3 linked regions of the Oryzias latipes genome follow. The protein of the gene in region 3 purifies or fractionates together with the protein of the main gene of each other region. This does not show direct contact. Links are inferred from orthologs where the notes say so. Each region holds a gene or a part of one and is shown on either strand. Other genes may lie near its edges. The genes, in order: med9, cdk19 and ccnc.

Region 1 (2,693 bases), on a different chromosome or scaffold from region 3:
GCATTCTATCTTCTCCAGGGGAGACTGAGTTTTTCCCTTTCTGTGTTCACCAGGTGTGAGTAATGAACTCATGGGATGTTCGCTGCATCAAGAGGTCAAACTTGATTTCATGTGAAATGGATGTAAACATGAGTTATTTGGGCTAAAAAGAATACATTTAAAAATAAAACACATAATTCAACATCAAACAGGAGAATCGTCATTGCTACACATGCATAATCGTGTAGTCACTTGTACTAACAAAGAATTGAGCAAATTAGCCATTTTAATTCTCCGTGTTGCCTAATGTATTGCCAAACAGGGCTTTAGAAAATAACCAGGAAGTAAGCTTTTCATTATTTTGTTTTATTTTCTACATACTAAATATTGTATCCCCAATCAACAAGGACGCACTGTGTAAACAGAAAAGGAAAAAGGGTTTCCAGACAGAGATGCACGACCTGAATGAAACACTTCATTTATCTTCCAAACAGACAAATTGCGTGACGCACCGTGAGACTATATTTGTGCTTGCTATGAGCTCTAGTGTTTACACAGCTCCCCATTTTTCAGTTCTCAAGCATGTCTTGTGTTGACTTTCGATGTCAGTACTTCAGGTTACCAAGTAGCAAGACGTGTAGCCAAGGTCATTCCAAGTCCTAGGTCATGTGTTTATTATGTGCATTGACAAATGGTCTGTGACCTCCATCCATCCATCCATCCATCTTACTCTGCTTTACCGGGACTGGGTCACGGGGGCAGTCTAAGCAAAGATGCCCAGACTTCCCTCGCCCCTGCTACTTCCTCCAGCTCTTCTGGGAGGGACCCCAAGGTGTTCCCAGGCCAGCCGAGAGACGTAGTTTCTCCAGCGTGTCCTGGGTCTTCCCCGGGGCCTCCGCATAGTGGGACATGCCCGCAACACCTCCCCAGAGAGGCGTACAGGAGGCACCCGGACTTGATGCCCGAGCAACCTTGGAATAGGTCTGGGACCTATTCTGAGCAAAATGATGACATGCCACGAGAATTGCAAGGGCTTTATCAGAAAGAAATCAGTCCCAAATCTTTTAGATCTTTTTTCTTGTGTTTGAAATTTATTACAGCAAATTTTTCTTTGTTATTTCTTGTTTTGTGTCAAGACTTTTTAATAGTTTGGGAATCATACCATGACTTATATGACTTACCATCTCAAGGTAATCATTTTTTTCATACTTTTGATAACTAGAGTATTCATTCATTCATTCATTCATTCATTTATTCATTCAATCAATCATTCACTCATTCATCTATAATCATTGTTGTTGTTGTTGTTGTTCAACATCAATTGAACTTTTTTAAAGTTGTGATTTCAGTTGAGATTCTCGGAGTAACCTGTGACGTCATCAGCCTGCGCCAGTTGCAGAAGGAGTAGCAATGGCGGTAGCTCAGGCTAAGCTCGTGAAGGAGACCGAAGACTGCTCTTTGCTGCCCTTAGTTCACGACATTATCAAATGGTAAGCTGTTTCCTGTGTGCTGGGTTTACGTATATGTTGGTATTTACTAAATGGTTCACGGTAAACTCTCGTTGGGGGTATTTACGGTTTGCTATATGAGAAGTGACGTGAACGCTTCCCATCATGGGTGCAGTTTTGCCTTTAATAGAAGTCTGTTATTTATGTATTTATTTATTTATTTATGTTTCTGCTTAGCATGGATAAGGACAGCCCGGATGTCAACCAGGAGCTGACAAAACTAAAAACAAAGATCCAAGAAACCCGGGAGCAGATCTCTAACATGTCTGGGATAGACTGCAGTCCGCCGGAGCAGCAGCAGCAGCTGGCCACGCTGCGGGAGCAGGTCCGCACCAAGAACCAGCTGCTGCAGAAGTACAAGGGACTGTGCATGTTTGATGTGCCTAAGGCGTCGTGAGACAACAGACTACAAACTGGAGACTTGAGCAAAGACGTTTATTTCTACGGTTTACCATTTAAAAAAAAACCTGAAATGAAAAATGGGACTTTTGTTTTTCTTTTTTGTTTGCATCAGTGTGAATGATCTGCTCTGTTTCTGAAGTATCTGTTATTATTTCAAGTTGTAAATCTCTATTTTTAATAAATTAAATCGTGCTATAGTGTTTTACTTGTTTTCATTATTATTATTATTATTATTATTATTAATAATAAATGTATAAGGGCTTTGATGCTTTATTGAGCAGACCATTTAGTCTGAATCTAAAAGGTTTTTAAATAAAGGAAAGCATTTGCCACGGCACACACTTTCACATAACTTTATGTAGTTCCTTTTCACAACATGCAAAGTAAATCTAATTTAATGTGAATCAGCATTTTTCTCTAAACAAAGTTTGATTTTAATCATAAATGATATTGTCTCTAATGGGCCAAATATTACATCTGTTGATATCTACTAAATAGCCTCTAATTATATGTGCTGCACTGCCTCCTAGTCTAATTGTTTTCCTTCTCTGTTATTGTGCCATGGTTATCATTTGTGCAAACAATGGAGTCCTAATGAATAATTATTCAGGCTGTTAGCTCTTTTTATATATAAGTCCATTTAATTTCAGAATGTCTCAATAAATGATGTGTTATAAACATGTATTTTCATTCGAACAGCAGAATGAAAACGTATATATAATTCTTAAAGTGTTTGTTTTATGCGAGAAATTGGAGAGTGGGACTGAGAACAGACTATGAAAGTATCAAGTTTTTTATTTTTTA
Region 2 (4,107 bases), about 4.8 Mb from region 3:
TTAACTCTGTACAAGTTGTTTTTCATTGACCGTACCGGCAGATGAGCCAGAGTCACAATGGAGTGTTGTGAAACTCATCGTGTAGGTATGTGGCTGAATCAGCAGCGCTGATCTGACCATCCCAGATGACGAAAAAAACTCAAACCCAGTCAAGACGTCCAGTTCCATACCACTTTCATCCTACATGTAAACATTTAAGGCTGCTTTCACACTTCACACAGTGTCTCCCCAAAGAAAGTCTGGGAAGGAAAGCGAAGCGTGAACAATAAAACAAGTTTGACCTCCTGATCCATTTAAAAGAACCTCCAGCTCATCAACACAATGGACGATCCACTGAAACAAACCCCATTCCAAGAATCGTCCAATGTTCCCTTCGTCCCTATGAAAACATGAATATACAGAGATTCTGAATCAACTCAAGCAGTAGGTCCCACAAGGAGTATTTCAGAACCTAACCGTAGGGTTCTGTCTTTTGTTTTCCATGGTTGAAAAAGGAAGAAAGAGACAACATTTGGATTTCAAAACAGGAGATTTTTTTAACTGGAGCTTTTATTGTTTTTATCGTTGACCGGTTTCTGAACTTTACAGGGTAAGATCAATATCTACTTGATTTATAAAATATGTGTGTGTTACAAACATTCACAGCTGTTTTATGAAACAGAACAATAATTCTTGTGACCCTTCTGTCGTCATGGGAACCAGAGATGACTCTTTAGCCACAACATCTGATAAGGTCAGTCTGCTTTCAAGGTTGTGAGCTTTTCTTGACGGTATGACATTCTGAGGCCCAAACGGTCCTTTTGTGTCCACCTCACGCATCCATCCATCATCCAAATCTGCTGAATACCTGTTGGGGTAATGGGGTTACTAGGGCCCATCCCAGCTGCTATTGGGCGAATTGGCCCATTGACTGCACATGACAACTGGACTGGGTAATCCCTCTCCCATCACATTCTAAATAGGAAGTACCTGCTGGTTCCTAGCAGCCCAAATCCCACAGACTTCTATTGAATAATAAACAGATATTACTCAGTCGTTCTATAGGTCCGAATAAACATTCTAGCTCTGCTACCCTTTTTAACATGTTCTTGCTAATCCTAATTTATTTTCCCATATTTTTTCTGTAGTGCAAGCTATTCACATTAATGACCAATCTGATGCCTCAATAAAAGTATGTGGTCTAACACGGAACGTTTGAAGCGTTTCATTGACAGATTCTCCTAGGCACGCTTTCAGTTGATAAAGGTGTGGACTTTCAACAAGTTCACTCCTGATTAGCGAAAGTTGTTGCCATAGAAACATTTACTCAGATCAATCACTGCTTACCAACATAGCAACATGCATATTGCAAAAAAAAAAAAGGCAACTGAATTGACTTCATTTAGTGGAACCAGAAGCAAGCCATTTTGTATGGGTGATGTCGGTCCAGTTCTCATTTACAGACAAGATCTGGACAGATCACCAGTCTGTCACAGGACCACACAACGAGACAAACTCACATCTAGGGACAATTTTGAGTCACCAATTAACCCTTGATTGTATTTTTGGACTGTGGGAGGAAAGATGAGTTCCTGGAAGAAACCCACACACACACAAGAAAAACATGCAAATTTCATACAAAAAGGTCCCAGCCAGGATTCATACCAGGAACTGCACGCCAAGAGTGCTAACCATGCAGCCCTATCAAGCTGCAGAAAAAAAAGTTCAAAATACAAAACAGCATAAAGTTCTAACAAATCTGTACCGATTTCCTACAAAACTGCAAATTTTAAAAGCAACATCATGAAGATCACCTCTGACTGACCACAGACTGATGAACTCCACCTTCAAACAAAAACCCACAGCTTCTGTTTTAAACTCCGAGCCTTCATGCCTGCTGTTTCAAAGTCCCACAGAGGGTCTATGAAACAGCAGTCATGGGAGCATCTGAGTCTTCCTCCTGCTCCTTTGATCTAACAACAAAGGTGTTGCTGGAGGTACACACGTGACAAACTATTACTAAAGTTTGACGTCTCTACTAGAGCCAAAGCTGCTGCCTAAAAAAGCCGCGAGGCGCAACGCGGTCACGTCGACCTGCGTCCGCGTGAACTCCCCCCCCCCCCCCCTCGATAAAAAAAACAACAACAACAGCCGCGTTGTTTTAACATTTCGTCTGGGACTTAGTTTAGAGGGGGGGGGGGTATTCGCGCGCATTTGTATGTTATGTGTATGTGTGAATGAGTGTAATCGTGGGGAGGGGGCGTTGGTGGGTGAGTGAGTGAGTGCGCGCGTGCGTTCCATGAAAACAAAAACACAGAGGTTTTTGCCTTGGTGGGTTTCGAACCTACCGAGCCGCGCGGCCCGTTAGTGAGATCTGAGACCGCGAGCAGCAGCGAGCGGTCGATATGAGACTTCGGAACAAAACAAGAACGTTCACGGTTATCTTCTTACCCGTCTTTGCGCTTAGCTTTATAAACGTGCCCGTAGGTGCCTCGACCCACTTTGCAACCTTCATATTCGAAAAGATCTTCCACTCTCTCCCTCTCCGCTGCCAGCTTTGTTTTGAAGTCGTAATCCATTTCAACCCATAAATACGTCTTAATTTACAAAAAAATAAAATATTAATTATTACATGCATTCATTAAATAATCTGGTCGTTTTATTCCCCCACCATTTCCTTGTTTGGGATTTTGGTCTGCTCCGCTTAATGTTCACTGGCTCGTTGACGTTTCTAATTGGCGCGTGTTGCCAGATGGGTAGTGTAGTTCCAATGGGACGTTGACACCATTGAGGAAACAGTAAAGAGAAGGAAAATAAACTACTACCCGCGTTTCTTGATGCGGTTTGTTGCACTTTGCGTACTAAAGAACTTTCTTCAAAAATGTTCCTCTGCTGTTTGACTTTATGGAAATTTTTGTCTGAAACATCAGCCATTAATTGAAAATATTATTTCCTTAAAACTTGTTTTACCACTAATAGTAGTTGCAGTATTCATTTTAATAAGAGAAAAAAGATTTTAAAAAGTATTAATTATGATGTAATAATTATTTGATTATAAATACTGTTGTTGTTAAAATCTAACTTTCTCCGTAAGTAAAAAAAAAATTATCAAAATTATTGTTGTTAAAATCTAACTTTCTCAGTGAGTAAAAAAAACCTGTTTAAAGAAACTACTATAATGAAAACAACTGTATGTATATCTCTTAACAAAGCAAATGCATACTAATTTTTATATTGCATTTATACGTTATAGCCTATGTGATCATAATTTTACTGGATAAAGGATTCAAATGAGGGGGGAACCTCAAATATTTTGACCTGTTACTATTGTTTTCTATAAAAGATAGAGTAGATACTGTCTTTTCATTATTTTTTTTTTTATATTCGTGGAGAAAATTAATCTTTGAGCTCCAAAATTGTAAGTAAATGTATTTATGTATTTGCTTGTATATTTAAAAAAAAACAATCAATCATCCACCCAAGTAAATTAGTACAAAATAAGTATTGATAGAAAAAAGACAGCTTTTTAATTATACTTTAGACTTTTACAAGTTTTCTTTAGACCTAAACAAGTTTAAAGAATAAACGAACGTGTCTATTACGTCACAGTGTTTGAGTCATGAGTGACAGATCCCTGGACCAATCATAAAGGAGTAAATAAAACCTCACCAGGAGAGTGGCTCAGCGCACCGCTGACGTAACGGCGTCGTTGTATAAAATCACCGCGCGCCGCTTCCTCAGTGCTCTACACAGTATGGCCGGCGATATTAGCTAGCGCTCGCTTACGTTGTTCTCTGCTACAGGGAAGACGGTAACTCAAGACAAGCAAACAACCAGATTGTTAAAATACTGTACCTCAATAAGTTAAAGCGAACCAAGGAACGACCATTTTAAGCTGTAAACCATACTACCAAGGTTTGACAGACTATTGAGGTGTCTGTTGTCTCATCATGATGATGGAGGATCAGGATAACGGTGCACATTTCTTCGAGGGGACCGAGAAGCTGCTGGAGGTCTGGTTCTGCCGCCAGGATGACACTAAGGGCACCGGGGACCTCCGCTCTATCCCAAGGTTTGTCTTCTCCGTCAGTCAGTGGTTTGGTCGTTAGCCTCCGGACCACATGCGCG
Region 3 (4,435 bases):
AGGTTTGTCATAGTGTGAACGTGACAGCCAAGCAAAAGCTGCATATTCGACTTGTAAATCTTTGTATCTTGCCTTTTCAATATAAACTGTCAGACGATCATTGAGAACAACCATCTCCTGCTTCTCATTGGTGCGTGTCAACTTGAAGGCCTGGTTTTGTGCTGCAGCCACATCCAGATCCATCTTATTCCCCGGTTCCAGGGATGAACCTACACAAAGGACCCCCATACTTGAACTGCTGCAGGAGCCCAAAAATAATGGTGTAAGTGGCTTTGTGTTGTGGGCTTTTTGTGTAGCTGGCTGAGGTGATGACCTACCTTGTCAGTTTTTGCTTGGTGAGTGCTCTATGCCCCCCCAACTTCCACCCGCCACTTCGGTTGAAGCTGGCTGAGCGGTGGCGGTTCTCTCTCCTGGTGGGAGAAGGACTGGAAACCCGGAGGTGGGATGTTGAGGCAATGTTGTCCTCAAAACAACGGCGGTATGAAGACATCCTCTCCGGGCTTCGGCTCATGGTGGCTTTTAAGTTGATGCAACTGTAGTTGGAAACTGGAAATGGAGCCTTTGCTTCTTCTGTCAGTCTGAGGAGGTGGGGTCTTTATACACTTCTTGGCCCTTCCCCTAACACTACAGTGAAATGCTGAACCCTTCCATACCAAGTATGAATGCCTGCACAGGCATCTATCAACAACAAGCCAAATAATTTGGCCTATAGGCTGTTGAAAGAACATTGTGCTTCGAATGATGAAGGACTTAATTAATTTTGAAGTAAAAGCTGAATTAAACATTACTTTCAAATGTTAAGTACAAGCAAAATGAACAATACAAACTGATTTTTAGTTGTCTTAATTACAATAAAAACAAGTAAAACATTTGAAAAAACAGAACACCACTGACTTCACGAAAGGCTAATTGAAATTAAATAAATACAATAGAATACAATTTCCTGTTTTTCTATAGGGCTACGTAATTTGTTTAGACCAAAGAAAAGATGTCTGCAATCGCTGATCGCTAAATCGCTAAAAGTCAAAAGTCCTTAATTGCTGCTTTTTGTTTTTTTAATATTAATAGACTATATTAGGTATAACCCTTTACACAATGTAGAATAACTATAGCCAAAATAAAATAATTAAAAAAAAAAACAACTTGTAGTTGACTTAACCACAAACAAATATGGTATAAAAGCTCTAGTTACCCAAATGCTTTAATATTCAATTGAGTTTAGGAGATAATCAATGAACCCTTTGAAATAAAGGATGCTATGTTTATTTGACCACTTTCTTTATTTCCTTTTTCCCTTCTGTTGCTTGAAAACCTCATATACTAGCCTCATCACATCTACTTTAAACGTCTAAACATGGTAAATGGCATCTTAAACAATTAGTTTTATAAATGTTTTAATCATGCAAAACATGTGAGTATACCCTCTTTGAAGTAATCGTGTTTCCCGACATTTACAGGAGACTGCGGAACCAATCTTTGGGCTCGTCGGAACGTTATTCGTGATACACCAGCTCTGCCACTTTAATTACTTTTCTCGCTGTCTCCGCTCTTTTGTTGGTTAAAAAAAACACAATTTTCCTTTCTGTAAATTTCTACCTCAACTGCAGTGATGGCGGGTAACTTTTGGCAGAGTTCTCATTAGTGAGTTTTTGTTAAAATAATATCGACGTTGTGTGTGTTTTTGTCGTAATCATCAGCCGCTTCGCTTGTGAGGCCTAGCTAGCTGCTATTTTTGTTCTGCGTTGAAGCTAACAGTTTACTTATAGCATTGTGGTGTAAAAATAACACTTGGGGAACACACTGTAACTAAAAATGTGGACTTTCTTTCCTTTGAGCTCCAGCAATGGTTCTTGTTTTCGTTGTGTTTTGTTGCCGTCACGTCAGGAGCTTGTTACTGTTAGTCAAGTGAATTTGACCCGTTCAAACGTCTGTATAAATTTATCATATAAAGTAATCTTGCTTATCTTTTAAAGTCTGCAGTGGGTCTTGGACAAACAGGACCTCATAAAGGAGCGCCAGAAAGACCTGAAGTTTCTCTCGGAGGAGGAGTACTGGAAGCTTCAGATTTTCTTTGCAAATGGTGAGTTTTTTTTCTAATACATTCATGCAGGTTTTGGGTCTGTTTCCGGGTCTGTTTGAAAACATGAGAAAATCTTGAATAGTCACGAACAAAACCTAAATCACACACTTCAACTAATGTTTTTCATTTGGTATTTTTCAGTTATCCAAGCTCTGGGCGAACATCTGAAGCTGCGCCAGCAGGTCATTGCTACTGCGACTGTGTACTTTAAGCGCTTCTACGCCCGGTAAGGAGCTCGAAACGCTTTTTCCATAAGTTAAGCTGTTGGTATTTTACACGTTTGTGCTGACAGCTCATGGAGGGTAAAGTGTGAACATATTGGGCAGCCCTAATGAGATTACATCAGTGTTGATGACAGTTTCATTTCTGCAGAGCATCAACAGCTTTTGTGTCCGGGAGCGGATAAGTTGGTCTGGTTTATTGAACCCTGTAACAAAAGGCTGTCGACATGATGTATCAATGAGTAAACAAAGGAATGTTTACTTTTGCTGACATTAGCATAACAGTTAGGAAGGCAAAAAAAACAAAAAAAAAACTTTCCTCTTTTGTTTTAAATTCTTTCCCTTAACTATACTGTGCTTACTACCCATGTAGCCATGATTATCTTTGGCTACTCTTACTTTTTGACGTCGTCAGCATTTCTTTCCATGATCTGTTTGTTTAATATTTAAATACCTTGTGTCATTTTGCAGGTATTCTCTGAAGAGTATAGATCCGGTGCTCATGGCTCCCACTTGTGTGTTCCTGGCCTCTAAAGTTGAGGTATAAATTTGGTGGAATCATCTTTAACATTTCATGTTACATTTCATTTTTAATCATAAGTGAGACACATTTTAGGGTCTTTAACTGCTTCTTTAGTACACACGATAATCTGTTTTGTATTGCTTATTTTCCTGTAGGAATTTGGAGTCGTGTCCAACACCAGATTGATCTCAGCCGCCACCTCTGTATGTAAGTGACCCACATTGTGGATCTCAAATTTAAGTTTTCCCTGTTTTCATTTGGAGTTTCCAGCAACACAAATTTTTTTTCTTCTGTTTTTTTGTAGTAAAAACAAGATTTTCTTATGCCTTTCCAAAGGAGTTTCCTTACAGAATGAATCATGTGAGTAAAACACAGTGGAAGTAATCCGATTACGTCTGTGATTTTATGAAAAAGTTAAGAATCATGAACAAATCTGACGATGCAGAAATGTGACGGTAAACAGTAAATGCCATCAAGGTTTACTGGTTTAAGTTTCAAGAAGGTGAGGTCACATCAAACTGCTTCCTCTGCAAAGTTATTTATGTGCTGCATTGCAGCTTACCGAGAAGCCTTCAGACTGTATCACAGTGTTGCCACATTACTGCCTATCAGTGCGTTAGATTCCTCAGCTAATGTTCACACTCTGCTGACAAAAAAAAAGTCAGTCAGGGGGCTTGCTGCTCAATGCTTTTGCCTCGCAGATCTCCAGAGTTTCCAGAACAAGACGGCTCTGACGTAATGCTATATAAGCTATAAATTACGGAGGGGGGGGGGTTCAGACGGCAGAGATTGAGGTAGCAGAGGGCCGTGACTCGTAAACATCATTCATCTTGTGGACATTGGACACTTAGTAAAAGTGTGACAATGATGAAGTGCGAAGCTGTTAAAAGCAAACAAAGTCATCATCTGTACAGCAGGAGGTCAAAGGCCAGTCTGATGACGAGACTTAATAAATAAAAATGAATTCACAAATTTTGGGGGGCATTTTCAAAGTGAAAACATGATTAAATGTCTTTTTGAAATAATTCTAAACCTCTTTTTTTTCCCCCCAGATTCTAGAATGTGAGTTTTACCTTTTGGAGCTAATGGTGGGTGGAAATCTAGATAAAAAGGATGAGTTGTTTCATAGAGAGAAGAATTGATCCTTGATTGGCTTAATTTTTCAGGACTGCTGCCTGATTGTGTACCACCCCTACAGACCTCTGCTGCAGTATGTGCAGGACATGGGGCAGGAGGACATGCTGCTGCCCTTAGCATGGTACGTTCTGCCTCGTTTGAACAAAACCCATTGATGTTAGCTTATTTTTCCGCTGGAAGGCTTTGCATTGTTTTCTGCCTTTACCAGGCGAATAGTGAACGACACGTACAGGACAGATCTGTGTCTGCTCTACCCTCCCTTCATGATAGCTTTAGGTAAGAAATGCCTCTTAGGTTTTGAAAGTAGAGCAGTTTAACTCACATTTCAAAAAGATGGATTAATTACTGCTTCTGTTCCTCCATCAGCTTGCCTACATGTGGCCTGTGTGGTGCAGCAGAAAGATGCCAGGCAGTGGTTTGCAGAGCTCTCTGTGGACATGGACAAAGTGAGATTCTTACCTTACTTTGATGTCC

Evidence for each region.
Region 1: the proteins of ccnc (region 3) and med9 purify together in Homo sapiens (affinity purification with mass spectrometry; 4 studies listed by BioGRID and IntAct, counting the BioPlex papers as one, with this or other methods). This does not show direct contact. The link is inferred for Oryzias latipes from reciprocal best matches to the Homo sapiens genes CCNC and MED9.
Region 2: the proteins of ccnc (region 3) and cdk19 purify together in Homo sapiens (affinity purification with mass spectrometry; 8 studies listed by BioGRID and IntAct, counting the BioPlex papers as one, with this or other methods). This does not show direct contact. The link is inferred for Oryzias latipes from reciprocal best matches to the Homo sapiens genes CCNC and CDK19.

The regions. Positions count from the first base shown.
Region 1 is NC_019866.2:10,875,017-10,877,709, forward strand, and holds med9 (mediator of RNA polymerase II transcription subunit 9), read left to right. Parts: upstream 1-1,337; 5' UTR 1,338-1,389; coding exon 1,390-1,469; intron 1,470-1,664; coding exon 1,665-1,884; 3' UTR 1,885-2,089; downstream 2,090-2,693.
Region 2 is NC_019882.2:10,351,814-10,355,920, reverse strand, and holds the start of cdk19 (cyclin-dependent kinase 19), read right to left. Parts: upstream 2,927-4,107; 5' UTR 2,654-2,926; coding exon 2,651-2,653; exon of another isoform or gene 2,577-2,650; coding exon 2,431-2,576; intron 1-2,430. Other genes in the region: amd1 (S-adenosylmethionine decarboxylase proenzyme), read left to right, coding at 3,930-4,051.
Region 3 is NC_019882.2:15,128,020-15,132,454, reverse strand, and holds the start of ccnc (cyclin-C), read left to right. Parts: upstream 1-1,483; 5' UTR 1,484-1,609; coding exon 1,610-1,641; intron 1,642-1,973; coding exon 1,974-2,080; intron 2,081-2,221; coding exon 2,222-2,306; intron 2,307-2,772; coding exon 2,773-2,842; intron 2,843-2,979; coding exon 2,980-3,031; intron 3,032-3,128; coding exon 3,129-3,184; intron 3,185-3,876; coding exon 3,877-3,912; intron 3,913-3,990; coding exon 3,991-4,082; intron 4,083-4,169; coding exon 4,170-4,237; intron 4,238-4,327; coding exon 4,328-4,407; intron 4,408-4,435. Other genes in the region: glial fibrillary acidic protein, read right to left, coding at 73-238, 318-511. UniProt on the Homo sapiens protein: Component of the Mediator complex, a coactivator involved in regulated gene transcription of nearly all RNA polymerase II-dependent genes.